Canis lupus familiaris: one gene and its partners. The protein of the gene in region 7 interacts with the protein of the main gene of each other region in a pairwise test. Links are inferred from orthologs where the notes say so. Each region holds a gene or a part of one and is shown on either strand. Other genes may lie near its edges. The genes, in order: EIF4E, PRKAB2, EIF4E2, RHOBTB3, TLE5, USHBP1 and UBXN11.

The links.
Region 1: the proteins of UBXN11 (region 7) and EIF4E interact in binary tests that used the Homo sapiens proteins (3 or more experiments, as listed by UniProt). The link is inferred for Canis lupus familiaris from reciprocal best matches to the Homo sapiens genes UBXN11 and EIF4E.
Region 2: the proteins of UBXN11 (region 7) and PRKAB2 interact in binary tests that used the Homo sapiens proteins (3 or more experiments, as listed by UniProt). The link is inferred for Canis lupus familiaris from reciprocal best matches to the Homo sapiens genes UBXN11 and PRKAB2.
Region 3: the proteins of UBXN11 (region 7) and EIF4E2 interact in binary tests that used the Homo sapiens proteins (3 or more experiments, as listed by UniProt). The two-hybrid records come from large-scale screens. The link is inferred for Canis lupus familiaris from reciprocal best matches to the Homo sapiens genes UBXN11 and EIF4E2.
Region 4: the proteins of UBXN11 (region 7) and RHOBTB3 interact in binary tests that used the Homo sapiens proteins (3 or more experiments, as listed by UniProt). The two-hybrid records come from large-scale screens. The link is inferred for Canis lupus familiaris from reciprocal best matches to the Homo sapiens genes UBXN11 and RHOBTB3.
Region 5: the proteins of UBXN11 (region 7) and TLE5 interact in binary tests that used the Homo sapiens proteins (3 or more experiments, as listed by UniProt). The two-hybrid records come from large-scale screens. The link is inferred for Canis lupus familiaris from reciprocal best matches to the Homo sapiens genes UBXN11 and TLE5.
Region 6: the proteins of UBXN11 (region 7) and USHBP1 interact in binary tests that used the Homo sapiens proteins (3 or more experiments, as listed by UniProt). The two-hybrid records come from large-scale screens. The link is inferred for Canis lupus familiaris from reciprocal best matches to the Homo sapiens genes UBXN11 and USHBP1.

What each region holds. Positions count from the first base shown.
Region 1 is NC_049253.1:18,848,082-18,851,218, reverse strand, and holds part of EIF4E (eukaryotic translation initiation factor 4E), read right to left. Parts: intron 2,069-3,137; coding exon 1,929-2,068; intron 1-1,928. UniProt on the Homo sapiens protein: Acts in the cytoplasm to initiate and regulate protein synthesis and is required in the nucleus for export of a subset of mRNAs from the nucleus to the cytoplasm which promotes processes such as RNA capping, processing and splicing.
Region 2 is NC_049238.1:58,294,334-58,299,258, forward strand, and holds the start of PRKAB2 (5'-AMP-activated protein kinase subunit beta-2), read right to left. Parts: upstream 3,100-4,925; 5' UTR 2,933-3,099; intron 2,928-2,932; exon of another isoform or gene 2,844-2,927; intron 2,652-2,843; 5' UTR 2,627-2,651; coding exon 2,471-2,626; intron 1-2,470. UniProt on the Homo sapiens protein: Non-catalytic subunit of AMP-activated protein kinase (AMPK), an energy sensor protein kinase that plays a key role in regulating cellular energy metabolism.
Region 3 is NC_049246.1:44,368,059-44,372,839, reverse strand, and holds the start of EIF4E2 (eukaryotic translation initiation factor 4E type 2), read right to left. Parts: upstream 3,220-4,781; 5' UTR 3,187-3,219; coding exon 3,167-3,186; intron 1-3,166. UniProt on the Homo sapiens protein: Recognizes and binds the 7-methylguanosine-containing mRNA cap during an early step in the initiation. Acts as a repressor of translation initiation.
Region 4 is NC_049224.1:13,913,866-13,918,682, forward strand, and holds the start of RHOBTB3 (rho-related BTB domain-containing protein 3), read right to left. Parts: upstream 3,059-4,817; 5' UTR 2,906-3,058; coding exon 2,904-2,905; intron 2,593-2,903; coding exon 2,367-2,592; exon of another isoform or gene 2,330-2,366; intron 2,117-2,329; exon of another isoform or gene 2,011-2,116; intron 1-2,010. UniProt on the Homo sapiens protein: Rab9-regulated ATPase required for endosome to Golgi transport. Involved in transport vesicle docking at the Golgi complex, possibly by participating in release M6PRBP1/TIP47 from vesicles to permit their efficient docking and fusion at the Golgi.
Region 5 is NC_049241.1:56,593,075-56,596,598, reverse strand, and holds the end of TLE5 (TLE family member 5), read right to left. Parts: coding exon 3,485-3,524; intron 2,001-3,484; coding exon 1,926-2,000; intron 1,839-1,925; coding exon 1,617-1,838; 3' UTR 715-1,616; downstream 1-714. UniProt on the Homo sapiens protein: Transcriptional corepressor. Acts as a dominant repressor towards other family members. Inhibits NF-kappa-B-regulated gene expression. May be required for the initiation and maintenance of the differentiated state.
Region 6 is NC_049241.1:45,884,159-45,888,351, reverse strand, and holds the start of USHBP1 (Usher syndrome type-1C protein-binding protein 1), read right to left. Parts: upstream 2,801-4,193; 5' UTR 2,664-2,800; intron 2,383-2,663; exon of another isoform or gene 2,325-2,382; 5' UTR 2,251-2,324; coding exon 2,197-2,250; intron 2,100-2,196; coding exon 1,951-2,099; intron 1,738-1,950; coding exon 1,299-1,737; intron 1-1,298.
Region 7 is NC_049223.1:73,114,776-73,118,929, reverse strand, and holds part of UBXN11 (UBX domain-containing protein 11), read right to left. Parts: intron 1,800-4,154; 5' UTR 1,765-1,799; coding exon 1,694-1,764; intron 933-1,693; coding exon 904-932; intron 387-903; coding exon 195-386; intron 1-194. UniProt on the Homo sapiens protein: May be involved in the reorganization of actin cytoskeleton mediated by RND1, RND2 and RND3. Promotes RHOA activation mediated by GNA12 and GNA13.

The DNA of each region.
Region 1 (3,137 bases), on a different chromosome or scaffold from region 7:
ATATATTACTGCAAATCACATTTACCACACTTATTACTTTATGATATTTCCAGAGTAATTTAAAACATACATCATTTCTGCCTTCTATACTAACTCTGCAACCTAATTTTCAAATAACATGTGACTATTTTAAGAACAAACTATGACGAGTGCCAACGTGGGTAAGTACAGGGGCTGTGATATTGTATAACAAGGATGATCTAATCTTGTCTGTGAAATTAGAGAAATCTCCCCTTTAAAAGTCATGAGGTTAAAAGTAAAATGCTGAGAGAATGAAGCACATCTGAAGGCTGGGGAACTAAATAAGGCTGTGTGGCTACAGCTCATAAAGAAAGGGACTATGAGTTAAAAAGGTTAAATAAAACTGAGGCTAGATCACAGAGAGCATCACAGGTAAAGTTAGGGATTTGGACACTTATTCTAAAGAAAAGACAGCAAACCTTCAAAAATAAGCACCCAAATAAAATAAAAGACATACATTTATACATATTGGAGCTAAATTCTCCAATATGATACTAGGATAGTTTTATTCATACTCATACCTTCCAGAAGATTCTACTACCTTCCTACAAATAAAGTTTCTAAAAATAACTTTCTAACTAAAATAACCATTATCAGATTTATATGAGGATACAAAGTATTCCCTTCCATTACACTTAATCATAAAAATGCCAGAAAGCCAGAGCACTCAGCCATGTAACTTGGGTCAAAAAAAAAACAAAAACAAAACAAAACAAAAACAAAACAAAACAAAATAACCTCCATTAAAAAACTGAAGTCAAATATTTCACAAAGATTTCAATAATTTTAAATACTGACACAAATACTATATTTTCAGAGGAAAGAACTTCATACTTATTTTTTAAATTGTTTTTTTAATAATCAAAACTATTAAGTTTTGATGCTGAAAGGTTAAGAATATGATGACAAATCAACTTTTTTTTTTTTTTTTTTAGATTTTATTTATTTATTCATGAAAGAGAGAGAGAGAGAGAGGCAGAGACACAGGCAGAGGGAGAAGCAGGCTCCATGCAGGGAGCCTGATGTGGGACTTAATCCCGGGTCTCCAGGATCAGGCCCTGGGCTGAAGGCAGCACTAAACTGCTGAGCCATCCAGGCTGCCCTCAACTTCTCTTTTAGAAAAAACCTGGAAAATCTCCATTATCTTTTAATCTAGAAAGGAATTATGTTCATAGGAGAATTCATATTGTTTGAAAACAATCACGAAGGGCAAACCAAATATTTTGTGACCTATGACCAATACTTAATTTTAACACAAAATTAAAAGTCAAATATTACTAATTTAAAAGTAATAAAAAGAGGATCCCAGTTAATACTGATCAATGCTTGGGGGATAGGGAAATTCCAGGCAATTATTCACCATGCCCCAAATTTAAAAACTTACACATGTAGGTTTTTAAAATATGGACACAACTAAAATACTATCACTTAAATGTCCCTGAAAATTTTACACACATGTGCACAGAACAGACATTTAAAATATGGACAGAACTAAAATACTATCATTTAAATGTCAGTCACTGAAATTTTTACACACACGTATACAGAATATATACTATTTGCCAATACTCCCTGAATTACTATTCCTATGAGTATTGTAATACTAATGTTACGATTTTAAAGTAGAAAAAAGACTTAATATTCTCATAGGATAAATAAAATGCTACATGCCAATATAGAATACTTTGGTCATTGATTACATACTCCATTGCGAGGAAAATGAAATTAAAAAAAAATATGGACAAGACAATGAAAACCAATAGAGCAGGTTCAAGATTATAAGTTTTCATGAAAACAATACAAGGAAAATAATGATCTACAAATCCAAGTGTTTTTAAAGTTGTAACAGTACTTTGCTTTTAGTTATCTTAATATTTTAAAGGAAGTATAAAAATAGCAAAACTTACCCTATATGTGTAACAGCCTCTCTGTTTTCACATTCAGTAGTCCATATTGCTATCTTATCACCTTTAGCTCTAACATTAACAACAGCTCCACATACATCATCACTGTAGTCATCAAAAGATTCTCCAATAAGGCACAGCAGCTTTAAAAAAATTCAATCCCAAATTACATGAAACAAATTATTCACTGCTTATTAAACTACAAATGTTTCTTATATTTGTATATATACAAAACTGAAAACAGTTTTTAAACCAAAAGTTGACTTTTTCAATGTCTAAATTATATTTATGTATATTGTTCTTTGTCCTGACTTTTTAAAGATTCATTTCTTTGTTTAATATCAAAAACATTAACAGATGATTTTAACTTTTTTTAGCAAATGGGGCAATTGATGTGAGGGCACATATGAAAGGTAAATTATGTTAATATTCAATTGCTCTTCTGCTTCTACTTGCCAGCAAACAAATAATGGAAGGACTGAATAGTTGTGCAAGGTTAAATTAACTGCCTCATGATCTTGCCGTTTTTCATGAACACAGGTTTTTTTTTTTATTGTGGCAAATATATATAAAATTTACCATTTTAATCGTTTAAATAACGTTTTTTATTTGAGGATAGACAAAATATGACATTAAATCACTTAACCATTTTTAAGGGTATGGTTCAATGGCATTAAGTATACTGACAACATTGTATAGCTATAACAATCATCCATCTCCTGAACTTTTGTCATCTTACAAAACTGAAATGACTAATTTTTAAAGTGGAATTCTAAATGGTATTTATTTACTGATAATCTCCAAAAGCAAAATTAAGTTTCTTCATTCAAAAAAGAAATTCATGCAAATATTCAGTAACTGCTTAACTCATTAAGTGCTAACTATAAATGAGACACTGTGATGAGTGCTACGAATCCAAGAGACTATTATTCCTACTCCTAATAGCTTAGAGCTTTTAACTTCTCACTATAGAAAATGCCAATTATCTCATATTTAATATATGTCTTAAAAAGCTGGAAGTTTTAGATTATAGTACAATACATAAGGTAAATAATATCAAGCTATGCTTTCATTGTTTGCTTCACTGACCTAAAAAATTTATACACAGTAATACTCTGAAGAAGGTTGTAAAAACTTACAAATGTGAAGTTCTGCAATTTTGAAGTTAATGAAATGACCAGGAGAAACTTACTGTGGAAGGTGAGAATCAAC
Region 2 (4,925 bases), on a different chromosome or scaffold from region 7:
CTTTCAAAATGGCTAAGGTAGTCTACTTTCCATATTGTCTCTCAATATTCCTCAAAACTATACTAATGAGACACCAGTAACAGCATAAACTGAAGTAAACAGAGAATTGAAGGGACTTTCTCACCTTATGTAAGGAAGTGACTTAAGTGAAAACCTTGATCTCCATATTCCTAAAGGAATGCACCTTTGTCTGACTGGCTGCATTAGAATTACAAAAATTTTTACATATGCCTAAGAATAACTCAGATTCTGGTTTACATATGGGACCTAGGAACCTGTTTTTAAAAAGCTTCACAGAGAATATTATTACTGTGATTATGTTAAACAAAGGAAAAAACCTCAACTTTACAGATACATCCTAAAATATTTACAGATAAAATAATATTTGATAGGATGTCTGGAATTTGTTTCAAAATATTTGGTAGGGGGAAGTGGACTGGCATAGGCATGACATAAATTTGTTCAAATTTAATCATTGTTTAAACTGGGTGATGGGTATATAGGAGTTTACTATACTACTCTAACTACTTTGAAACATGGAAAATGTCTCTAATTTTCCATACAGTGTTTAAACAAATTTTAGGTGATTCTAATGTGCAAACAGGGTTGAGAACCACTGACCTAGTCCACTGAAGAGGACTGGCATTTGAAGCAATGTTGACCCCACTGCCACTGTTTCTATGAGTCACTTTGATGATTTAGTATTTTCAATTTCGAATTTGAAAGCTACAAACTATTAACATGCCCGGCTTTGGAAGAAAGCCCTTCCACATATGACATGACATTTCCGTGGCAGGCCTGAGTGCAGCTGACTAGCAGAAAGACCATTTACTCCAAGTTAAATTGTCAGCAAAATCATTATGAAAAGAGGCAAAACAATGAGAACTACAGTTTGAAAATATTTAAGTAAAACAATGAAGGAAGAAGTAAAGAGACTAGATTGAGAACTATAAAATTTTACATGTATAAGAGACCTTAGGAATTATCTGAACCAATTTTCTTACTCACAAATGGCAAGACTGGGGTTAGGGAAGGAAGGAACCAAAATAGGCTCCATTTCAGATGGAGCAACCTGGCTTTTATTCAGCACACCAATTATTGCAGTCAGAGTTTGACAAATACACTGTACTTAAATCCTGAGTCATTGACATAGGAAAAGGGTAAAATTAGGAGGTGGATCACCTTGAGAAAGCTTCTAAGGAAATTCAAAATGACTGGCTAGATGGCCCAAATGCTGAGAAAGAAGTTCTAAAGTGGGAGAAGGAAGAAAGGAATGGAGACGAAACCCCAAGATGGTGCTTTTAACCACCTTCACTTCTTTTTCTGTAGTTATGTTTTCAACTGGGATTCAAGAAAATAAACAGAATCCAAATTTCATGTGCTACCAATGGGGCAAATCATTTCTTTACTCCCTAAAACCCCAATTTGGTGAAAGGTTTGAAGTGATAAAAAAAAAAAAAACATCAAACACACCTGAATCTCCTCAATCCCTCCATTTTTTCTACTTCCTCCCACTCGGACTGCCTGGAGGGATTATTGTTATTTCATGCTGACAGCTCTAAATGGGACTAGAAATATTCGGATGGTAATCCCATTGCAGTCAACTCCATCTAATCTACGGGTGGGCACAAGTTGCCGCTTTTCTGGAAGTCCTTGGATTTGAGAGCAAGGTCTGCCTGCCCGGCAGCTGCGGGTTGTCCGTTTTCAGCGATGGTAACATCACGAATTCCTACTGGAAGAGGAGAAATCCTGGATCGTTTGCTCTCCCAGTTGACCAGTAGCTGGGTGTGAAGAAGGAAGCACCTCAGCCAACCGCAATATAAAGGATGAGATGAACAACTGAGCAGTCAGCCAAAGGAAGTCCTGTACTGATCTCCAAGACGAGGAGAAAGTATCAAATAGGCAAGTGGCTGCTGCTCACAATCCTGCCAAAGGGGAAGAGGATCCGAAGTGCTGGGTTCTTAGAGGAGCAAAAATGATACTGATACCTACAGGTTATCAGAAAAAAAGAAATTCGTTTGCCTACCTCAGGGTAAACCTGAGAAACTGTCTCAGATGATCAGCCACTCAGGCAACCTACCGTCTTTGAAGTTTTCTACCAGGGTCTATAGGGTTTACAACCCATAAACTCATCACTACTCTCCAAGAGGGCTCCTGCCTGTTCGGAAAACCGGGGATGGGTGTGTGTGTGTGTGTGGCGTTGTGGGGGGGGGGGGGGGACGACTCTACAGTCCCCATCGTAAAAATATGGCCAGCAGGTCAGGCGAACGACAGAAACCCCGCCTCTATAGTATTTCGAGGCAGCGCCGCAGGCGTCAGTTACCCTCCAACATCTCCGTCCCCCCCCCCCCCCCCCCCTCCCCAGCCCCATCCCTTTAATTCAGAAAACCGTAACGTAGGTCGGTGGGATGAGGAGGAGCCCGGAAGGGGAGGGGGGCTGGGCCGCCGGGGCGCGCGCGGGGAGACTCACCTTGGGGTCCGGCAGGCTGAAGACGCTGGGGTCGTCCGTACTCCCCACCATGATCTTGTGCTCCTTGCCCGGCGCGTGGCCGCCGGCGCCCTCGGCGCGAGAAGCCTTGGCGCCGTGGCGCTCGCCAGCCACCCGGTCGCTGGTGGTGTTTCCCATGGCTGTAGCTCGAGTCGGGGGCCACCTGCCGGGGCGAACCACGCGGGGCTTTAACACCCGGCGGCCGCGTCAGGGACGCCCCCCGCTCCGCCCCTGCGCCTGGGGACCCGGGCCAGGGAATCCCCGCCCCAGGGAAGCCGTGCCCGGGGTCCCCTCCTTCCTCGGCCTCCGGCAGCGCCCGCGGCCCCCCACCCCCCACCCGCCACCCGCCACCCGCCTCTCGACGCCCGCCGCTGGGGAAACCCGCTTCGGGGAACTCCCCGCATCCCCGCGTTCACTGCCCGGGGGAGCCCCCACCCCAGTCACCTCCCGCGATGCTCTTCCTCCTCCCCTAGCCACTCGCGAGATGGCTGTTCTGCGGTTACGTCCACCAATAAAGTTATTGAAATTGAAGCCGCGCCCCGGGCTGGAGATCCGGGTTTCCTCCTAAAATGGCTACGAGGCCAGGGGCGCCAGGCCCGCCCCGCGCGCGTTCCCTACGGCCGCGCGGCGACGGCTCCCGAGCTCGCGGCCTCTCTAGCCGCCGCCGCCGCCGCCTCGGTGGTGGGCAGCCTCTCGCGCCAGGCGGGGGCGCCCGCTCCGCGTTGGCCTCGGGCTGGGCGGGGCGGGGCGGGGCGCGGGCTCCGCCCACCCGACCCAGAAACCCTGGCGCGGTCAGCCGCGGGCCGGCCTTCCGGAGCAGACGGGCTCCAGGGACCGCAGGGCCGCCTCCCGGCCTCAGGCGCTCCGTACCCGGAGAAGCGGCGCTGCCTCCTTGCCGCCCGCCTCACCGGGCTTCAGGTTAAACAGAACGTTCTCTGGGCAACCCGGACAGGTGGGTTCCTCCAGGGATTTAGAAACAGAATTTCCTCCTGGAATCAGAAGGAAGTAGTGGCGACTGCTTGAGGTACCTTCCAGCTGGCTGCGGTGGGGAGCAGCCTCGACTGGGGCCCCAGTGAGGAAGGAGTAATTAGGCGAGAAACCTTGACAGATGCGTGAAACTGGTCTGAAGAGGAGGAGAAAGCTATTCTGAGCTAAGAAACCGCGAATGCAACGAGCAACCCCAAAAGAAATGCCATTTGAGGAAGACCAACAAGAAGAGAAGGAACAGTGAGAGCAGAAAAGGACAGAGATTGTCCTCGGGTTGGAACGGATCTAGGTTTTTGCTGATGATTAATGGAACGTGTATGGTATTTACTAATTCATTCTTTGTGTTATAATTATGTGCTTTTCCGATTCCCTAGCGGAAACCGTTATCACTCAATGTGTGTGACACAGACCAGCAGCTTTGCCATCACCTGGGAGCTGGCTAGAAGTGTAGAATCTGAGGCTCTATCCTACAGGATCAGAATCTGCATTTTAACAAGATCCTCAGGGGAATGTGTATACATATTAAAGTGTCAAGCACTGCTTTGAAGGCTGGCAGAGAGCAAGTCTAGTTTTGATTCCTCTTCCTGTTCTGCATGCATCTTGTCCGGAGTAAGCTTTTAATAAATATTTGCACAGTGAAGGGTATAATACCGTTTACTACATTTCTAACAAGATAATACCACTTAAACAAACAGCGATGGGGGAATGCCACGTCGTACAAGGCCACCCTTTTTGAATGAACAGCTTTATTTTGTTGAAAAGCTTATTTTTCATAAAAAAAAAAAACCATACACTTAGGTTTGACAAATTCGCTTCTCTGCCTTTTGTCTTTCCTCTGCCCTAGTAAACTCAGAGATTCTCTGGTTCTTTTTTTTTTTTTTTTAAGATTTTTATTTATTTATTCATAGAGACACAGAGAGAGAGAGGCAGAGACACAGGCAGAGGGAGAAGCAGGCTCCATGCACCGGGAGCCCGACGTGGGATTCGATCCCGGGTCTCCAGGATCGCGCCCTGGGCCAAAGACAGGCACGAAACCACTGTGCCACCCAGGGATCCCAGATTCTCTGGTTCTTAACCAAAGACAGTTTGCAGAAAAAAGAATGTTGCGGATAACATTTTTACTGTGACCTTTTGCTCCTCCCTCCAAAATCTCCACTGCCTGGTTACCTCCTTTTTGGTCCCTACTGTTCCCCTCTCTACCACTTCCGTTCATTCTTTCCACTGCACTCTGCAGCAAGGCCTCTGAAGGGAGTAATACATTGAATCTTGTGTATTATTCAGGTTTCTAACCACAGGGTAGCTTCTCTATGCCAAATAATAAATAGGTCCTTACAGTAGTCAAATCAGCATAGCAGAAGCAAACCAGATATTATATTGGCGAGTGGAAAACTTATTAAGAAAAGAAACTTCTTGTCTAAATAGAAATGACTTTTGGGTCATCTCCTTTGGG
Region 3 (4,781 bases), on a different chromosome or scaffold from region 7:
TTGCTGCTATTCATGATTAGGAAACAGAAAAATAGCAAAAATAATTATATCTGAGAAGAGAGTGCTACTGTGGTTCCTGGACCACACTTCCTGACTCCCTTCAGAGATGATAAAAGGAAATTCTAATGTGTTATTTCTTGAGGGTGGAGCTAACCCTGCCCTCTAAGCCTATACTTAAAGCAAATCACTTGCATCCTGTCTTCCAGAGGCTACTCTTCCAGCTTGAAGCTGGATTTGAGCCAAGATACAATCAGGACTAAAAATCAGTGCTCCAGACTCAGGAGGGCAATTAGCATCTCTAAGGCTATCCAGACTGAGTGGCTCCAAGTCAACTCACCAAACCTCTGCCCAGGTTTATCCTCACACTGCTCTCTAAGTAGACCAATTCCTTGTGGATAGGAACTTAGATTAATTCATCTTTACATGCCCAGCATGAGACCGAGGCAGACAACAAACATGTTTAATGAATGCACTTCTAAAATCAAAGCAATACAAGGCAGAATAGGATGGGAGCCAACAGGTGGTTCGGCCAATATTGTAAGAAAGGGCCAAAAACTAGCAAAGAGAGAACAGTAACAAAATCAAGTATGGCATCTAGATCTGAAAACTAAGGTAATCACAGTCTGGGACTGCAGAATAGTGAAATCATCCTAAGGTTTCACACATCAACAGGGTCAATGACAGTGGTAGCTAACTGACTGGATAGATGTAGGGGGTGGGGTGCAATTATAATCCTAGATTACACTCTCAGAAATCGAGCCCATGCAGGAGGTTAGAGCTCTTCTTTAAACTGGGCTGATCAGATTAGACTACAGTACCCAGCTCTAGGCACTGGACTTTTAGGATACTGGCAAACTGGAACCAGTCCTTAGGAACCACGTGGTAAAGAGTACAGAAGCCAAACAACTAAAACGTCTAAAAACTGCAGACTTTTGGGGAACCTGGCTGGCTCAGTCAGAGGAACTCTTGTTCTCAGGGTTGTGGGTTCGAGTCCCATGCTGAGTGTAGAGATTATTTAAATAAACAAACTTAAAAAAAAAAACCCTACAAACTTGTTACATGAAAAATAAAAACTAGGGGCAGGAGTGTGGTCTCTAATTGCTAATTTCAAATAAATGAGAGCTTTGTTGTTGTTTTTTTAACTGCATACCTAGGAGATGTTAAAAAATTCTGGGTCATTATAAGGCATAGTTAATAATTATAACGAATTAAAAATGACCCAGGTTAATTTTTGTCAAGAGTTACTTGAACCAAGGTTAAACAAACCGGGGTTTGAATCCTGCTACGTGCACCTTCCTGTTTTCGTGTGCAAGTTACTTAACCTCAGAGGGCCTCATTTTCCTATCTATAAAAGGAGGTAACATGATCCCCTTAGCAGAATTGTTAGCAGTAGAAATAACATATGAAAAGTATCTACCAAGATTCCTATGAAACCTGTTACTATCATTCTTTTTTTTTTTTAATTTTTTATTTATTTATGATAGTCACACAGAGAGAAAGAGAGGCAGAGACACAGGCAGAGGGAGAAGCAGGCTCCATGCACCAGGAGCCCGACGTGGGATTCGATCCCGGGTCTCCAGGATCGCGCCCTGGGCCAAAGGCAGGCGCCAAACCGCTGCGCCACCCAGGGATCCCCTGTTACTATCATTCTTAAATTAGCTTACCGCAGATCCCCAAATGATATGGGCAAGACTCGGCTTAGCTGACCCATAAAGTGCCTTCCTAAGATGCAATGTTGATCTGTTCAATTCAGTGGAGGAAGAGGTATAGCATTTACAGAAAGCTCTACTGAGGGAGGACTTAGATCTGGAATTTGGTGTTGCAAAGATTTAAGATATAAGGGGTGCAAATGGCGGGGGGGGGGGTGGTGGGAAGTGTGGCTGTTCCTATTGAGATGGGCTCAGCTAAGCAGCAGGCTGGGGGAACGTTGAGCCAAAGACTTTTTCCAAGTCCCAGAGACTTCTCAGCAACCAGGAACACATTCCAGAGGAGCTGCCTAGAGCGCTGAAATCCAGGACTCCCGAAAGTGCAAACCAGCACTCATTGTACTGGGGGGCGGGGGGGGGGGGGGCACACAAAAAAACTCCAAAAAAAAAACAATTTCCCATCAGCAGCAGGTCACAACCTAAACAGTGATGCCACTTTACATTCCTCCCTATTAGCAATTTACAAAGTCCCTTTAAGCACTTGCTGAACGCGATTTGATCCTCACACACCAGGGCAGCAGCAGGGCCCCAACCGCTAACGTGCTTTACGTTAACAATGGGTGGGTGACTCTTCCACGGGCATAGAAGCGGTAAACTGGTGGGTCTGGACCTGGGAATCTAGGTCCCTAGAGATCAACTATGCTTACTAGAAGCACATAACCTGCCTCAAGACACAATCGCTAGAGGGAAACGTGCAAAGAAATAATTCTGCATTTCCTTTTTTTTTTTTTTTTTTTTTGCGCCCCCAAACGATGCTGCTGGAACTGGGGAGGTGGAAACGGGGGCAATGACAGGGGGGTGCTCGGGGGACCAGAACAGGGGCAGCTCCTGCGGAGCGTGCTGGAGCGGGGAGGGTGGGGGGGAAGGGGGAGGAGAAAGGAAGCAGGAAGGAGCCTCGCGAAGGCCGGGAGCATTCCGTAACTGAGCCGCCTGCAGGCGCCAACGGCCACATTACCTCACTGCATCCTCACCACTCTCCGGCCCGGGCTGTCACCGTCCCCACTCTGCAGAGGAGAACCCGGACTCAGAGGGGCGAGGCGAGCTGCCCGGGCGGGAGAGCGTGTGCGTGGAGCCCCCGCCGGGTCCGGAGGCAGGGCGGCCGGGCTGCGCCAACACCCCAAAACCGCCGCCGTCGCCGCCGTCCCCGCCCCTCCGCGCCGCCGGCAACCCGCACCCACCGGGGCGGGGCGTCCAAAAATCTCCTTCCGGGCGGCGCGGCCACCCCTCCCGGGACCCCGCGCGTCGCCCTGGGGCCGTACCCCGCTCCGCACCCCTGCATGACGCCTCCCCCCCCAGCCCCCCTTCTCCCCCGCCGGCCGCCCGGGCCGCGAAGGCCCGCAGCCCAAGCCCAGGCCGCAGGACGGCGCCGGGGAGTTTCGCCGCTGCCAGCCCCCGTGGAGGCGGGCGCGGGGGGAACGGCTGGGGGAAGGGGCCCCGCGGGGCGGCCACGCGCCACTCACGCGTCGAACTTGTTGTTCATCCTCTCACCGCCGCCGTCGCCACTGCCTCACGGAGTGACTTCCGCTCCGCCGGGTTTCCCCCCCCCCGCCCCCCAGTTTAGGGCCCGGCCACTTCCGGCTGCGCGCGGCGCAGCGGAACGTCTGCGCGCTAGTCCGGTGCGGGGCGGGTATCCCGGGACGCCGGCCCCGGGCGGCTGCGCGGCGGCTGCGCGGAGGCTGCCTGGGTCCCCGCCGCACGTCCGAGGGGGCGCCCCGACTCCACACCCCCACCCCCCGGGGGGCGGCTGCACCGTCCTGGACTCGCTCCTCACCTGCCCGAGGCTGTTTCCTCCTGGGTCCCGGCCACGCCCCTTCGGGTCGCCGTGTGGCTAGAACCGGACCGCCGGTGTCCGGCGCCGGACGCAGCCGCCCGCGCGGAGTCTTCCGTCTTGCTGACCTGTGCGGGGGAGCGAAGGAGCTCATCGCGCCCCCCGAGGCGGTCGGAGATGTGGAGAGACCGACGCCAGGTGACACAGTTAGTGCGAAGCTCACCGGAACCCCAGATGGGCCCGCCAGGCTCGGAGCGAGCGCCTCCCGGATCCGAAGCCTCTGCTCCGGGGACACAGGGGCGGCGCGCACGGGAGTTAAGGACGCGAACCTGCTGCTGGTGGAGCCCCCAAGCCAGCACCCCTGTGCTTGGGGAAGGCGGTTATTACCAGCCCCCCCGCCCCCACGATGTCCCATTGTCAGGTCTTAGGCACATTTTTTTTAAAGACTTATTTATTTGTTCAGAGAGAGGGGGGCAGAGACACAGGCAGAGGGAGAAGCAGGCTCCACGCAGGGAGCCCGACGTGGGACTCGATCCCGGGTCTCCAGGATCACACCCGGGGCTGCAGGCGCACGCCACCGGGACTGCCCCTTATGCACATTTTTGATTCACTGTCACCCGCACCTTTGATCCTCTGATGGGGGTGGATAGGTAGGAAGCGGAAATCCGAACCCATATTTGCAGATGAAGAAACAGAGGCTCAGAGGGCACAAATGACCTGCTCGGGTTCTCTCCTCACCAACAGAACTCGGGCCCCAGCTGTATTCTCAAAGCCGGGCCTTGCCTCTCCCGCCAGGAAGACCTCAGCTGGGCATCTTGTTTTCTAAGTGGATCCAGAATCTCCTGCCGGAAGGGAAAGCCCAGCCCATCACCTCCCAGCCTCTCTGCCCAGCTCCTCCTTGTCTTAAGCATCCTTTGAGACCAGTGCAAATGCTCCGCCGCCCTTTGAGAAGAGAAGGAAGAGGGGTCTGTTTTCCAGGCCACCGAATCTTTCTTGGGAGTGTCTAAAATTGGGTTGGGAATTCTGCATTCCAAACTTTATTTAACCACCAGTGTTCTTTTTTTTTTTTTTTTTTTTAAGATTTTAAATATTTAGATTCAGCCCCAGTGGCGCAGCGGTTTGGCACTGCCTGCAGCCTGGGGTGTGATCCTGGAGACCTGGGATCGAGTCCCACGCCGGGCTCCCTGCGTGGAGCCTGCCTGTGTCTCTGCCTCTCTCTTTCTCTCTGTGTCTCTCATGAATAAGTAAATAAAATCTTAAAAAAGATTTTAAAATATTTATTCATGAGAGACACAGGCTCTCATGAT
Region 4 (4,817 bases), on a different chromosome or scaffold from region 7:
TACATGACTATACTAACATTGTAATAAACACATTGTTGTTTTTATAGGAGCTACCACTACTGAATACCTACTACATGTCGGTTTCTAGCCTAAAAACTTTACATATACTATCTCATTTATCTCATCTACTCTTCAGCATTGCTCTAGGAGGCAGGGAGTCTTTTCATCTTATACATAGGAAAAATAGGGCTAGGTGAAGATAGTTGACTCACCAAGGAAAGCCACTAAGTAGCAATGTAGGGATCTGAAATATCCAAACCTGTGCTGTTTTGCTATACTGAATATACTGTTTCAGTACACATCAAGTATCAGCTGATAAATACAGTCAACTTGAATATCTCTGATGGACTTTTACTTACCACTAAGAAAAGAGAAGCACCTTACAAAGAGAAGCTCTATAAGTATGTTCCCTAATGCTTGAAGATCTTTATAACCCAAAAACATGTACCAAAACTTAATGCCTTAAACAGGACCAGAGTCTAAACACATAAAAGTTGATAAGCAAGATAAAAAACAACGCTGAGTATAAGGCAAAAATCTAGACTACAGAGGCTTATTTTAATACATTTGGAAGATTTCATTTACTACAATACATGGGATTACAAGTACTGTTTTTTGCTAAATTAACAACATAAACAGGAAAGAGTTAACAGCTCAAAGAAAAAAAACAGGAAAGGTAATCCTAACATCCTAATTCAGTTTATTTTCTCTACATTTATTTACTTTATTCACTCATTTGTTCCAATTTACTTATTTACTCTATTCACTCATTCACATCATTTGTTCAACTGCATGTAAACCCAGTAAGTTTTTAGACTGTATGATTTTTCACAATGAAATGGCCAAAATAAAAGAGGTATTTCATTTGCTCGCATGGAATCCAGCCAGTAAGTTCTTTACCGATGCTTCTTAAGATTGGCATCATCACTGTCATAAAAGGGAGTTTAATGCCATCCCACTTATTGAAAACAAACAAACAAACCTGTTTTTCATTTATTTCAGCTCATTAACAGAAATATCCTTTAACTGATCATTTGAGGTAGAGATCTTTTCTTCCTGTAATTTGCATAAGTAATTTTTCTACTTACATTCCACACATTCCTTTAGAAACGTGTATTAGTTCCCTATAGCACATAATTCAGCTTTTTAAAATTGCTGTTTAAATGTAAAATCTTGGGGATCCTTGGGTGGCTCAGCAGTTTAGCGCCTGCTTTCGGCCCAGGGCCTGATCCTGGAGACCTGGGATCAAATCCCACATCAGGCTCCCTGCATGAAGCCTGCTTCTCCCTCTGCCTGTGTCTCTGCCTCTCTCTGTGTTTCTCTCATGAATAAATAACAAAGTCTTTTTAAAAAAATGTAAAATCTCACATAAAGATAATTTACACTCTTTTTCAGACACTAAGCTTTCTTCTGTTATAAAATACAACCTTCAAAAAAAATACAATCTTCAGCTTTAGTTATAACTCCAAAAGCAGTAAAGAATCAGAAATTTTCAAATAAGATTTAGTGAAAACATTTAAATAGTTACTGTGTATTATTATACTGCCTACTGAAAATATTTGTGTCAAAGAGTCCTTTCTCCTTTTATGAAGCACTCAAGAATCAGAGTAGAATTTTATCAACTTCAGAATATATTTTCTCCTTTTATGAAGCACTTAAGAATCAGACTAGAATTTTATACTTCTTTTAATTATTGCAAATTTTAAAGCTTTCTGAAAATTCCAACCAGCGTTCTTATTTCTGATTTATGAGTCACTGAAAACAAATAAGCTAATATCTCAGGAGTATCCGCATTATTAAAATTAAAAACGCTAATTAAAATGTCCAAAGGGGGATAGCTTTATAAAGGAGTGGTTTAAAATCCATTCTCAGCTCCTGTGTCTTCCTCTCCTTTCCAGGGGTCCTAGTCCTGAACTGTCCCAGTGAAATTTATTTTTGCTTGAGTTAAGCTTACAGAGGACTTTATTTTTAGAACACTAATATTACACTATCACCCACGGGGTAGGCATGAAAAAACATTGCTCTCTGCTGGTGAAGCTTAGTGACCCTGTCCCTGGGGGTTGTCACAGTCAACTGCCAGCTACCAAGGGACAGCCTACGGCGGCGAAGCATACGAGTAAGTGCTCCATGTTGCCACTGGGGCTTTTTTCACCTTCCACGACTGTTCTCCCCCAGGGCTGCCCCCTGCCTGGGGAAACAAAGGAAGACAAAGATTTGCCCCCAAATGTCTAAAAACTCTACCCAGGTGACCCAGCCGGTCCACATCCATGAAAGAGGAGAGGAGAGAGGAGGAGGAGGTGGGGGGGGGGGGGGGGGCGGGAAGCAGAGCCCCGCCGTCTGGGCACGGAGCAGCTGCCGCCGCTTACCCAGACGGGACAGTCGTGGACCACCAGCTTGACATTCCCGAACGCGCTGGCCTGATACTCGGTGAACACCGGCCGCGCCACCGTGCTGGTCGCGCTCAGCAACAAGCTGCTCTCATCCCCCGAGACCAGCGGGCTTCTCCCCAGGTAAGTGCGGATGAGCCCCGACGGCCGGCTGTCCTGGTGAAACGCGTCCCCCTCGTTCCCCAGCGCCACGATGTGGATGGACCTGCACCGCAGAGAGGGGGCGAGGGCAGCAGGCGCAGTCCGAGCGGGGCAGGCGGGCGGGGTGGGGAGCAGGAGCGCGGTCCGAGCGGGACCCGCCGGGCGTGGGGGGGGGGGTGGGCAGCAGGCGCGCGGCGGGGAGCAGCGGGGGCCCCTCGGGCCGGGGGGGGGCAGCAGGAGCGTGGCGGGAAGCAGCGGGGGCCCCTCGAGCGGGGGGCAGCAGGCGCGCGGCGGGGAGCAGCGGGAGCCCCTCGGGCCGGGGCGCACGGCGCGCGCCGGGGCGCAGACAATGGCAGGACCGCGGCGCGTACGTACATGATCTCGGATGCAAGGGCAGGGCGGCGACTCGGAGGCGAGCGGCTCCGGCGGCCTCTCGGGGCCCGGCGGCGGCTGTTTCCCCGCAGTCAGCTCATCCCCGGCCGCGTCCCCCTCGCGCGCCTCCACCGCGGCGCGGCCGACGCAGAGCGGGCCCCCGCGGGCGGGGACGTGCGGGCCGGGCCGTGTGCGCGCGGCCAGCCAGTCAGGAAGGGCCCGGGGCCATCCCGCGCGGCCCGCCGCTCCCGCCTCCCGCCTCCCGCCGCCCCGTGGCCGGGCGCCGCGGCCGCCGGTCCCGCCGCGCTCCCTGGGCCGGGCAGCTGTCGCCTCCAGCCGCCGCCGCCGCCGCCCCTCCTCCTGGCGGAGAGCGGCTCCGGAGAGAAGCCGGGGCCTCCGCCCCCTCGGCGGGCCTGGCGGGCGGGCGCAGCACGTGCTGGCCTCGGGGGTCGGGCGCGCTCCCCCCTCCCCGGCCCAGGCGGCGGCGCCGGGTACAAAGGAGCAGCCCGCGCAGGGCCCCGCGCAATATAAATTAATAAATGCAGCGCCCAAGCCGGAGATCTCCTGATCGCCGATCCGCCTGCAGCAAGTTTGCTCAACTCGAGAGGCTGTAACCGGAGCCGGGGGAAGGGGGTGGGGCGCTGAGGCCCCCGCTCCCTAAAGCCTGGGGGAAGAGGTTAGGGAAGCTAGGCGTTCAAGCCCGTTGGCCGCTCCGGCAGCCCCATTCCCCCCCACCCCCCTTGGCCTTGACGGAAAATGTTTTACCACGTCTGCCGCTTTGTCATTTGTCAACATGCACTACAGCTGTTTTCTAAAATCATACTTGTGAGAAAAAAAAAATAAAGGCAACATTCATGCTAGTGTAGAAAGGGGTCTTTGTTCACACACCAATTAATTTGCTAACATCGCTTTTGAGGGATTATTTACTATTTCAGGCTATATTTGGCATATTTTACCAAAACTGCAGGGTTAGGTTTTTTTCTTTTTTCCTTTTTTTTCTTTTTTTTTTTTTTAAGTGCTGGGGTTCTTACTGCGATGGTTTTAAAAAGAAGTTATGTGTGGGGTGTTTAACTTGTTTACAAGATGAATGCTAGCTTACTTGGAGGTTTTCAGTACACGTTAAAGCTACATATTTAATTAATAGATCCTTAGACCAACTGAAAAAATAACGATCATGCTTAATGCAAGGATACTTTAGATTCTTTCATGATAACGCACTGAAGTAAAGGTTATGAATGTCGCTAAAGGGCCAAACTAACTTAATGCAAATGAACACTGGAATTCACTAATACCGAGAAGAAGGGCCAGAGGTTATTGTGGGACTCAGCTTCTCCATAAACATGAAAATTCTCACAAGTGCTCTGTGTTGAGTTTTTTATCCCTTTCCTTATTTATTTTTGGCCTACTTTAAAATTTCTTTTCTCAAAAGAGCTATTTTGAGGATATGAGGTACTGAAGAAGTATTGAGGTACTGACTAGGGCAGTGAAAAGACTAGGGTAAGAGGCCTTTGGAATGTGAACAGCTTTTTATGATGGGCCCTAGTTGCTCAGTTGGAAGCAGTATAATACAGTTTCTCATGCTCATAGCGTACAGCAAGAGGCATTCTTTCTGTAGTCACTGATTTTTTTTTAAATCTAATTTTCCTCGCTCTAAGTATAATTTCTCTTTTAGTCTCTACAATATAAGCCATCCTGAAATATTTAAGAGTATAGGATCACCTTTTCTCTTGGGTCAACAGAAAATATATTTTCTTGTCAGTCCCCTCAAGTAACCATAGGTCAAAAACAAAGACACCAGAATGGATGAATGGATAAAGAAAATGTGGTATGTACCTACAATGAATATTTGGACCTTTAAAAAAAAAAGAAATATTTGGACTGAAAAAAGGAAATCCTGTCATATGTTACAACATGAAT
Region 5 (3,524 bases), on a different chromosome or scaffold from region 7:
TCGGCCTCTCTTTCCTCGGGGACCTGAGCCACTTCCCCAGAGGTAAGCAGTCCACCCCAACCCCCCTCCCTGTGCCCTTGGTCCAACCTGGGAACCCACTGGATTGGGGCAGGTGGGAGTTTCTCGGAGTCCAGAAGTCCCTTGGGTGCCCGGGTCCCTTAGGGTCTGCAATCTACACTGCCCGCCCTGCCTCATCCTCAGCCTTGCCCCGTTCCCTGGGGGGGCAGCCGGAGGCCTCTTGATAGCCTTCCTTGGGGTTCCCCTGGGTGGTCCAGCTGGGGCGTGGCAGGGACGCCTTGGACAGGTCCTCGGAGGGTCTGGTTCAGCTGGGGGGGGGGCGCTGTGTGTTCTCTGATCTGGCCAAATGGGCAGAGTGGGGATGCAGTGGGCGTGGGTCCTGCGGGCTCAAAGTCTGGTGTCTAAGGGAAAAGAATGGCACCGAGGAGCCCTCTGGCCTGGGGATGGGAAGCCGGGTCAGCTCCGCTTCAGGCCCCTGGGCCGGGCTGTGTGACCCAGAGCCTCCAGCTGCCCCTCCGGTCTGGGCATCAGTTCGGGAGACAGACTACAGGGACAGGCCGGACCCCCCACCCCCACGGGGACTCTCCGGATCCGGCCCGTCAGGAGGAGGGAGCTCAGACACGAGGGAAGCCCCCTCCTCCCCTGGGAAGGGGGGCACCGCGGCAGCCCACAACACAGAGGCAGGAACAAGGCAACCAACCTTCTCACATCTTTATTTGAAAGGCACAGCTAAGCCCACCCTCGGTACAGCAGTCTCCCTTCTCTCCGCAGCGATCAAACGACTCTACACAACAAAAGCTGACAAGTCTAAAAGGCTATATACAGACACAGGTGTGGGTGTTGCTTGTTTTTTTAAAACATTTTTCTGTCCTTTTTTTCTTTTTTTTTTTTAAATATCCCTTTTCTTAAAAGACAAGCTAGTGTACTGGAAAAAGGAAAAAAATAAAATAAAAACCAAGACAACTTGAGTACCCTCATCTTTATTGGGGAAGGGGAGAAAGGGAATTCTGGGACGCCCGCCCGCCCCCACCCCTGCGCCTGGCTAGGCTCCCTCTCTCCGCCCCCTCTCCTGCAGGGGAGAGGAGCGGTGGGCGTGGGCTCTGGAACTAGCCTTGCGGAGGAGGAGGGGAGTGAGGGGGGAGGGACGCGGGGTGCCCAGGGCGGGAAGGGGCAGCTAGCGTGGTGTTTGCATGCAGTGCCAGGGTGGGAGGCTGGGGGCGCGCCCTGAGGGGCCCGGCGGGCGCGGGCGGGGAGGTGCGGGGGTGCTGGGCTTCTGGAGGCTCTGCTGTCTTCGGGCCTGGCCTCCCCTGTGCGCCTCCAGGCCTCAGCTTACCTCCCGGGTGGAATGGGCAGGTATTGGCCCACTCCGGCTGCAGGGGGGGCGGGGAGGAGGGGAGAGGGAGGAGGAGGAGGGAGGCTGGAGCCGGGGGTGTGAGAAGCTAGGGGTGGCACACAGGCAGGGCTAGGACCCCAGCAGGCGGCTACCATAAATACTACCGAGTTCAGCCAATCCCGAGCTACACTGTGTCTTGCGCTAAATGTTCCTCTCTCCATGTCTGTGTCCCCTCGCCCCCCCACCCTCCCCACCCCGCCACCCGCTAATCCGACTTCTCGCCGTCATCCTCCTGGTGGGTGTCACCGTCGTGCCCGTTCTTGTCTTCCTTGGAGAGATGGGCCTGGGAGCCCAGCGCAGACAGCGAGAGGAGGCCGGTGCCGGCACTGACGGCGGGCAGCGAGGGTGGCTGCAGCCCCACGGGCAGTGGGGTCAGGGGCAGGGCCAGGGCCTGCAGCTGGGACAGCTGATGGGCTTGGAGCTGCTGCTGCAGGGCAGACGGAGGGAAGCATTAGCTGCCTGGGGCCCCTGCCCACCCAAGGCCCACCCAAGGCCACCCAAAGCCCAGACGTACTCGGATGATGGAGTTCAGCTCGGGAGCGGTGACCTGCTTAGCCCTCTCGATGGCTCCCAAGACCTGCTGCTGGTGCTGGAAGGGGGATGGGGTAGAGACAGAGGAGCCAGGTGCTGTGCCCCGATCTCTGTGCAGGTTTGGGGCACAGAGCCCAAGAGGAGCCACCCTCCCTGCCCCCGAAAAACCCCTCCCTCCAGCCGCTTCTGTTCACCAAGCCCCAGTCTCTTCCTCTGGAAAATGGGGACAAATGACAGATTCAAGAAGACCCAAGGGGATTGGTGCCAGATACTGAAGAAAATGCCATTAGGGGAGTCTGAGAGAAACCCCGGACCATGACCTATTCAATGCCATGTGCAAAGGAGTCAATGAACAGTGCACAACCTGGCCAACCATACAGAGAAGACCTGATCCTAAGAGCCTGCAGCCTGTGCCTCTGAGATCTGCTAATCCAAGATCCTCTCCTTGCACAACTGGGGAAGGCCCAGTGGATTCTGGGTTCAGGGCAATCCCTCCCACACCCGAGCACTCCCTGAAAGTCTGTTTCTCCTGCCAGTTTCCCTTTTTGCCTTGCCTACCAAGAAGTTCCTGTCATGAAAGGAAAGCACAAGTCTAGGTCTATCAGAGCCCCAAGAACCCCCTTCTCTAGGGTTTTCATAGTATCCTTCTGGAATTGTCTCTGGGCAAGCAGGTTACCCAAAGGGCCCCAAGACATGGTCAGGAATCCAAGAGGAAATGATAAATTATGGACAGGAAGCCTGGCAGAGGGCAGGAATGGCTCCGGTGATGGAATGGGCCTCACACCAACGGTCTTAAAACCCCAAAAAGCCGGGATGCCTGGTTGGCTCAATGGTTGAGCATCTGCCATTGGCTCAGGTGGTGACCCTGGGGTCCCAGGGTCGAGTCCCACATTGGGCTCCCCGCAGGGAGCCTGCTTTTCTCTCTGCCTGTGTCTCTCAGGAATAAATAAATAAAATCTTAAAAAACAAAAAACAAAAAGCCAAAGCAAGAGCTCAGTGCGTGGTTCCCCGGGGTGCGTGTCCACGCGTCCCTGCGTTCATGTGCGTGCAGACCTGTGTCTGCAGGTGCGCGTGCGAGCCTCATCTATCTGTGTTGAGCCCGTGCACGCCTGCCTCTGTGTGCACGTGTGTGTGCAAGTGCCCTCCCCGAACATGCGGCCCCTGGTTTCTGGCCTGAGGCGGCCCCCAGGGGCCTGGCACACAGATCTCAGAAGGGAAAAAGGCAGAAGCAAGAAAGGGAAAAAAAAGATCCTTGGTGCAGCCTTTGGCATATCTGACGTCTTCACCCACGAAATGACTCACTCAGGCTGGGAATTCCACAGCAGGGTGAGGCCCCTCCCTGTACTGCCCTGTGCCCCTGGGGTTCCTCCGATCTGCGGATCTTCTGTGTCTGGGAGGTCCAGAGAGGGGAGGCGTGTGCCCTGGGCACCCAGCAGCTGCTGCCCCAGAGGGCCGTGGGCGGGGGTCGGGGTGGGGGGAGGCCCGGGCAAGTTCATGGCCCAACCACCTCCTCCTCCCTTCAGCCCCGGGGGTGCCACTCACCTCTTGGGAAAGGTAGGGTAGGACCTGGGCACAAATCCCA
Region 6 (4,193 bases), on a different chromosome or scaffold from region 7:
ACTTATATTTGGGATCTAAGATAAAACAAAACGAAAAATTGAACTCACAGTTATAGAGAACAGAGTGGTGGGTGCCAGAGGCAGTGGGGGTGAGGAGAGGAATGTGGGTGGGGGTGAGGAGAGGAATGTGGAGCGGGGATCATCTTTCCCAGCCAGGAAGTGGGCCCCACCCCTTAGGCTGGGCTCTGGTGGCCCCATATCTTGCCACCTTGGCCTGCCCAAGATGAGGGCCTGTTCCCCCATCTCCTTCAGCCACATGGCTTTAGATTCCATCCACATGTTAAAGAGGTCGGGATGTGTTTCTCTTGTCCTGACATCTCCCCTGAGCTCTGGATTCTGACCCCACAACTGTGTCTTTGATGGTCCTACATGGGTGGCTCAGGGGTTTCTTGAACTCATTAGGGTCCCAACAGCTCCTGGTCCTGCATTTCTGGCTCCCAGTCCCGCAGGCCCCCAAACCAGGACTTGTCCTCAACCCTTCTCTGGCTTTCACACCCAAACCTGCCAGCTCCACCTTCGACACCACCCAGAATCTGCCCACTTTGTGCCACCTCCACAGTTTCCACCATCTGGTGTCTGGACCAGTGCCTCGCGGATCCGCCGGCTGTTCCTCCCATGCCTACCAGAGGGCGCCTGTGACCGCGGCACCAGGTCCCGCCCCTTTCTGCCGCGGGAGGGCGAGGGTGGGGGGGCGAGGGGGAACCCCCCAGGAGCCCACCAGGCTCAGGGCCAAAGCCCAACTCCCAGAAGCCCACAGACCGTGTAAATCTGCCCCCATCACTAACCTGCCCTCCCCTCACCCCCACACTGGCTTGCTCACTGTTCCCTGACTCACACTCCCACCTCTGGAAGGGAGCTCCTTCTCCGCCTGGCATGCTCTTTCCCCAGATCCTTGCATGGCTCCTCCCTTACCTCCTGGCTCAAGTGTCACCTCCTCAAGGGGCATCTCTGACCACCTTATCTAAGAAGGCAAGGCACCTTTGTTCAGGGCTCTGCAGCAGTCAACGCTCCATAAAAGTTTTTCTCTTTCTTTTTTTAGATTTTATTTATTTATTCAGAGGAGACACAGAGAGAGAGGCAGGCTCCCTGTGGGGAACCTGATGTGGGACTCGATCTCAGGACCCTGGGATCATGACCTGAGTCAAAGGCTCAACTCAAGTCAACCACTGAGCCACCCAGGCGTCCCTCCGTAAGAGTTTTTCTAATGAACAAACAATGGAAGGTTGCCTATGCCAGGCCCGCCTCCCCCTTAGACAGAGAACCCTCAGAGGTAGAGCACAATACGTCGAGACCCTCACCTCTCTCTGCAGCATCTCCTTCTCCCCCTGGATGGCCTGCAGGGAGGCCTGCGTGCGAATCAGCTCCTCCTCTCGGCTGCCCAAGGCCAATCGTAGCCAGTCATTCCTCTCTGCCAGGCTGGCTGCCTCCCTCTGGCAACCACTTGCCCCCTCCTGCTCCAAGCAGGGCCTTGGTCCCACCTCACTTCTGTCCTCTGCCTCCCCGGGCCCAGGACAGCTGGGGGGCCGGCGGCGCCAGGCAGCCGCCGCCGCCTCCAGGGAGCTCAGAGCATGCTGGAGAACCTGAAACACGTCAGAGGCTTCAGGCCTGGGGGGGACAGTCTCCCCATCCTGTGGAGCTACATCTCTGGCCTGGTGGCCTTCCTCTGCAGGCTTGCGGGGTCCCTCGGGAGATGGGGCCAGTCCTCTGCTAGAGTCCCCCTCAGCCTCTTTGTTGGTCCTGTGGTGAAGTGAGAGACAGAAGGTTCTGGAAATGGGGTCATCTGGGGTGGCTGGCTCACAGAGGGTGCATTATCCGGGGCCTTGAAAGTTGGGCAAGGAGGGCAGTGGGAAGCTACGGCGTGTGTGTGAGCAAGGGAGGAACACAGGTAGATCTGTGGGGAGGAAAGACACACCAGGGCCGGAGTGGGAGCCCAGACGGAGGGGACCTTACCTGTTCCCAAGGCCCTGCCCACTGGCCTCTGCCTCTGGCCCCTGCAGCCTCGGCTCGCAGCTCTCCTGAGATGGCACAGGGCCCAGCTCAGAGCTCCCGCTGGCTGCCTCAGCCTCCTCTGAACTCTCCGCCACGGGATCCAGCTCCCCCTGAAAATGACCCACAGGGCCAAGCTCCGAGCCAGGCCGGGGGCGAGGGGGTGAGTGACCCCAAAGAGCTGGATGCGGCAGGGAAGGGGGCACTTACAGGTGGCGCGTGCCTCCCTCGCCGGCTTCGGGGTCGCGTGGCCCGGGCACTCATTGCTGTCCAGAATTCAGTCCTCTGATTCTTTTTCCGAAAGCCGCAGCCTGATCTCGGCTCTTGTCTTTGTTGGTCTGGGCGAATGACAGCCTTAATACCTTCTTCTATGAAATGAGCATCGATCTCCTCCCGCTGGGAGGGATCTTGAATTACCAGTGTTGAGCTGGCACATTTGAATACCCCTCCTGACAGGCAGCTCACTACCTCACAAGTTTGTTCCCACCTCCCCTTGTCTTTTGCCTCCTTTATCTTTCACTACCTCTGTGCTCCCCTCGGTCCCCAATCTGGACCTGGCTCGAGGACTTCAAGAATCACCTCTCCTCCCCAGGGTCCTCTTGAGTCGGAGGCCCCAATCTTGGGGTTGGGTCCCCTCAGCCTGCTCTAATGCTACTCCTCTGTACCTCTAGGAATACCTTGGTCAGCAGCCCAAATCCCTGGACACTCTTGGGGTAGCTCTGGCCACTGCTTGCTTAGGCCCCGGGCTGGCCAAGGCTGGCTTGGGAGAGGCCGGGAAACAGGAAGCCCCCTCCCCTGGTCATGTGACTTGTTATTGTGCTATTTCCTCCTCAAGGACATCAGCTTCCTCCAGTCCCGGTGGGACACACATGTCCAGCTCCTGACCTGTCGGTCCTTCCTTGCCCCAGCCTCCAATCTCATGTCTCTTCCGCCTCTGAGCCTCAGTTTCCTTATCTGTAAAATGGGGGGGGGGGGCTTTAATTATAGGATCTGTCTACAGTGTCATGGGAATTTTAACAAGCAACTTGCACATGACTGAGCACCATCCAAGAACTGAATTGTAACACACCACTCTTGTTCGCTGCCTCTCCGGCCCTCCCATCTCTGCTTCCTCTGCCAGCTGCTGCTTCTCCTGGATTCCTCAGGGCACAGATCGCCCCTACATCCTGCCCATTTTTCCTGCATCCATCTCTAAAGGGCCTCGTCATCTCCCTCCATAACAGCCCAACCCTCTCCCCTCTACCGGGATGCCAGCCCCTCTCTCTCCGTGGACTCTACAGCCACCCACCCCTTGACTCCCTTCCCCTCCCAGGCCCCAGAGACAGAGACCTCATTGTTCACCTCTTCTGCTCACACACCCTCCATGACTCCCCATTGCCCTTGGGAAACATTTCAAGCTCTTCTACCCGGCATTCGAGGCCCTTAAAAATAATGCCTGCTGTCTGCACCCATGTATACTCCATGCTTTAGCCATGATGACCCCTCTGTGAACAGGTGAAGGTTCACAATTCTCACATCCCAGGGCCTTTGGTTATGCTGTAACCCTTTCCTTGTTTCTGCACTTGGCTTATTTTTTATTTATTATTTTTTAAAGATTTTATTTATTCATGAGAGACACAGAGAGAGGCAGAGACATAGGCAGAGGGAGAAGCAGGCTCCCTGCCGGGAGCCCGAAGCAGGACTCAATCCCAGGATCCCTCGGGATCAGGACCTGAGCTGAAGGCAGCCGCTCAACCACTGAACCTCCCAGGTGCCCCTACACTTGGTTTAAACTGCGCAGAGCCTGGAGTAGCCTGAATCTTCCTCATTCCGCTGACAGACAGAGGAGGCTGAGTCTTCCTGCTTCTGCGTCCCCAAAACTGGTAAGGAAATAAGTTGCAATTCTCTGACTTGGGGGCACCCAGGCACATTGAAATCTACACTCTTAGCCTCTGCTCCAGCCATTTTTTTAAAAAAAGATTTTATTTATTTATTCATGAGAGACACAGAGGCAGAAACAAGGCGGAGGGAGAAGTAGGCTCCCCGCGGAGAGCCTGATGTGAAACTTGATCCCAGCATCCTGGGACCACCACCTGAGCTGAAGGCAGATGCTCAACCACTGAGCCACCCAGGCGCCCCTGCTCCAGCCATATTAACCTCTTAAAGGTTCCATCGCTCCAAGGCTCTTGCAAGTCTCAGGACCTTTGCCAAGGCGATTCCTTCTTTCT
Region 7 (4,154 bases):
ACCTCTGAGATGAGTATCACCACAGCTCTTTGGGGAGGGTGCAGGCCAGGCAAGGAGGGCTGTCTGGGGACCGTGGGCTCACTCACAGCAGGCCACAGTAGGTCTGTGCCTCTCTGGGCTTCCTTCGGCTGCCCCCTCTCTGAGACCTTCTCCGGCTGCTAGGGACCCAGACCCTTTTAGGCCTCTGTTCTCACCTTGCCTACTCACAGGGGCACCTACGCCGCCATAGCATGAAGGGATGGAGATCCTTTCTTCTGAGCCATGTCCATTATTCAGCACGTCCACCTCGTCTTCTGCAGACAGGGATGCCCAGGTCACTGCTCTGGGGCTGAGGCCCAGAGGAAGCTGGGACCCTGGGCTCTGGCCTGGATAAAGCAGCCTGGATGCTGTACTCCCAAGTGTATGTGAATAGAACATGTGGGATGTCAGGGAGCAAGGATCCAACCAGAACAGGCTTCTTGTAATTCTGACAGCCTGGCTCCCGGGAGGACTTGAGTAGCCAATGCCAGCCACACGGTGGCAGCAAGAATGGGGTTGGGATGCCAAAGTCTGAGCCTGCAGGAGGCAGGGCAGAGAAATGAGGATGGGGCTTCTGGGAGAAAAGGTGGTAATGGGCTGGAGAAGGCTGGGGTCTGACCCCTATGGCTTCTCGGCACCCACTGGCCCGCCCCACAGTAAGTGGAGGGGTTCAAATGCTAGCAATGACATCTCTTCTAAGGGGGTGCGCCTCCTAATCAGAAAGCTGCCAGGAAGCCCTGTCCTCGGGGAGGGATGAGGGAGCTGCAGGTGGGCCAGCTGCTCTGGTTGACAGGGGTGATCATCCTGTTCCTTCTCTCCATCTGCACCCCAGGGAGACCAGCAGGTGGGAAGTGAGGGGGACACGAGGGCAGAGCCCACACTTACCATCTCCGTAGAGTTTTATCCCTCGCCTCCTAGGAACCCAGGCAGGAAGGAAAAGACAGATAGACAAGTTAGGACCCTCTGGAATGTCCCAGGGGGTCAGTCTAGGTGCCCAGCCAAGCCTAAAGGAGATGGAGGCTGGGCCTCTGCCTCCCGAGGCTATCTCCTTCCCAAATCGCATCCTCGGCACTGGGCAAGCCAAGGGACAGGCTTTGAGGTGTCCCCTCCTCCCAGCAGAGAAGGGCGGGGAAGGGCTGAAGGGCAGAGGTTTGGGTGGAAGACACAGAGCTCCCAAGCCCAGAAGCCCAGCCCCAGCTGTGTTTTAAAATGACTGTGCAAACCCCAGGTGGGTCCCTTGACTGCTCTAGATCTCCCCGGCCTTCAAATGACTCAAAGTGGTGTTCAGAAGAGCAAGAAGAGAGGTTAAAAAAAAAAATGCTTCAAAAGGATGAAGTGCTAGACAGATGTAAAGCGTTCTCTTCCTGAGGGCCAGCACGTGGCTGGCCCAGGGGAGCCCTACAATCGGTGTTTGCCAATGAACACGAGAACGATGAATAACCGGGTGCCGCGCCGCTCCCACCCAGCCCACACCCTGCTAGACGGCACAACCCAGTGTTTGCTCAGACGCCGCAGAGCCTCTCTGAAGAAGTTAGAAGAGAAAGATACGGTGGTCAGGGAAGGCTATGTGACTCCTCACCTTTTCCCGGAGACACTAGGAGCCCTTCTCCTAGTCCACTGGGCTGAGAGGAGGCAGGGGCATGAACATAAATACCCCCTGAGGCTGGTTCCTTACCCTGGATTCACAGGCTCTGACTGCAGGGGGACTCTTCGGGTCTTGCCAAGGGAGGCCAAAGGTGAGCTCATAGCTCTACTTCTAGATTCTAGCTGTCAGGAACTCCCTGAGAAGATGGAAGGAAGTCAGTCCCAGGGGACAGAGGGAGCCCGGGGCTTCAGGATCAGGGAAACTTCCTCTTCCCTCATTTCTTTTCCCAGGAGGGAGCACTGTCCAGGGAGCAGCACCCCTCACTTCTTCCCACCGCCCCTGCAGAGGTTTCTGGAGGCAGGTTGGCCTCACGATCCGTGTACTTGACGTCTGCTGGATCCTCTGGATATCTTGCTTTCTGCTCTGGCCCTGGGGGCCCCTGGACTGGCTGGGAAAGGGGGATGGGGTACAGAGATGGGTCAGAAGCCTGGGACTTTCCCAACTTACAGCCGGGTCACCAGATTACCCAGAAGGCCTGGGGCTTTTAGCCATCCTTCAAGGAGCTGTGGACACAAAGCTCAAGTGTCCTGTTCCCTCCTACAGGAACTCAGCTGTCATTCTGACTCTCGGAGCCACAGAGGAGCAACCCAAGGGCAGGATTCGACCAAGGCACAGTCTGTGTGGTAGGGAGATCAAGAGCCAGGCTCTGCCGTCCACCAGGTAACCCGTGCCTTGGTCTCCTTTGATATGGTGACAGTACCAGCCAGGTAGGGTTAACAAGAGGATTCAGAGATAACACACATAAGGCACGGAGCCCAGTGCCACACTGAGGGGAGGCACGGAAAAATGTAAACTGTGGGGGCGCCTGGCTGGCTCAGGCTGGTGGAGCCTGCAACTCTGGATCTCAGGGCTGTGAGTTTGAGCCGCATGTTGGGTGTAGAGATTAGTTAAAAATAAAAAAAATTTGGGCAGCCCTGGTGGCTCAGCAGTTTAGTGCCGCCTTCAGCCCAGGGCGTGATCCTGGAGACCCTGGATCGAGTACCACGTCAGGCTCCCTGCATGGAGCCTGCTTCTCCCTCTGCCTGTCTCTGCCTCTCTCTCTCTGTGTCTCTCATGAATGAATAAATAAAATATTTTTTAAAAAATAAAAATAAATTTTAAAATTTTAAATAAAATAAAATCTTTTAAAAAAGTTTTTAATGTTATGGCTTTTGTTGCTATACACTGAGGACATTCAAACATGTTCATTCCCTTCCTTTCCTCTTCCTTCTGGAAAGATGAATGCACATCAGTGATGGAATTAAAGGCCAACACTAGGGCAGCCCGGGTGGCTCAGTTGTTTAGCACTGCCTTCAGCCCAGGGTGTGATCCTGGAGACCTGGGATCGAGTCCCACGTTGGGCTCCCTGCATGGAGCCTGCTTCTCCCTCTGCCTGTGTCTCTGCCTCTCTCTCTCTCTCTCTCTCATGAATAAATAAATAAAATCTTTAAAAATAAATAAATAAAGGCCAACACTATTCAGTGAATTAGTACATTATGTGGCTAAATATCTACAAATCCTAGAACCAGAGGACCCCCATCAGGGCCTGAATCAAGCCTTTTTAGGACAAATCCAAGGCAGTTTCACTTTGAAAATGTATGGCACTGGTTTCCACCCCGCCCCTGAAGCTGCCCGGCATGGAGGCTGGAGGCAGCTTCTCAGTCTTCATTCCGGAGTTTGGGTCTCATACCCCACCAGGTCTAGTGTTGCCTCATCCCTACCATCAGCCTTCCCAATCTGCCCCTAGCCTCCCCCTAGTCCCTGCTGTCTTGTCCAGGCATCCTAATGGTTTGTGTGGCACCAAGTGCAATAGTCCCTCATGGTTCCCTGCTCCAGCATCTGGCCAGAGGGATCTTCATAAACATAAAGCTAACACGTTGGGGTGCCCGGGTGGCTCAGTGGTTGAGCATCTGCCTTTGGCTCAGGTTGTGATCTCGGGGTCCTGGGATCAATGCCCACATCGGACTCCCCACAGGGAGACTGCTTCTCCCTCTGCTTGTCTCTGCCTCTCTCTCTCTCTCTCTCTGTGTCTCGCATGAACCTCCCAATGGCTCCTCCTCACCCAGAGAAAAGAAATTCAAAATTCCTTAACATAGATGATCAGGTCCCTGCCGATGCCTCCTAACCTCACTCCCCCATCTCCCCCTCTTACACTCAAGCCAGCCTGGCCTCAAAAGCACTGGCCTTGGCACATGTGGCTCCCCCAGCCTAGAACCCCTTCTTGGAATAGCATCCCTACTCCTATCTTCACCCTTCCCTTGGTTGGGCTAACTCCTCTTTTTTTTGTTTTTGTCTGTTCTTTAGTTTTAAGTTTTTTTTTTTTTTAAGATTTATTTATTTATTTATTTATTTATTTATTTATTTATTTATTTATTTATTTATGATAGACACACAGGGCGGGGGGGCAGAGACATAGACAGAGGGAGAAGCAGGCTCCATGCCGGGAGCCCGATGCGGGACTCGATCCCGGGACTCCAGGATCGTGCCCTAGGCCAAAGGCAGGCGCCAAACC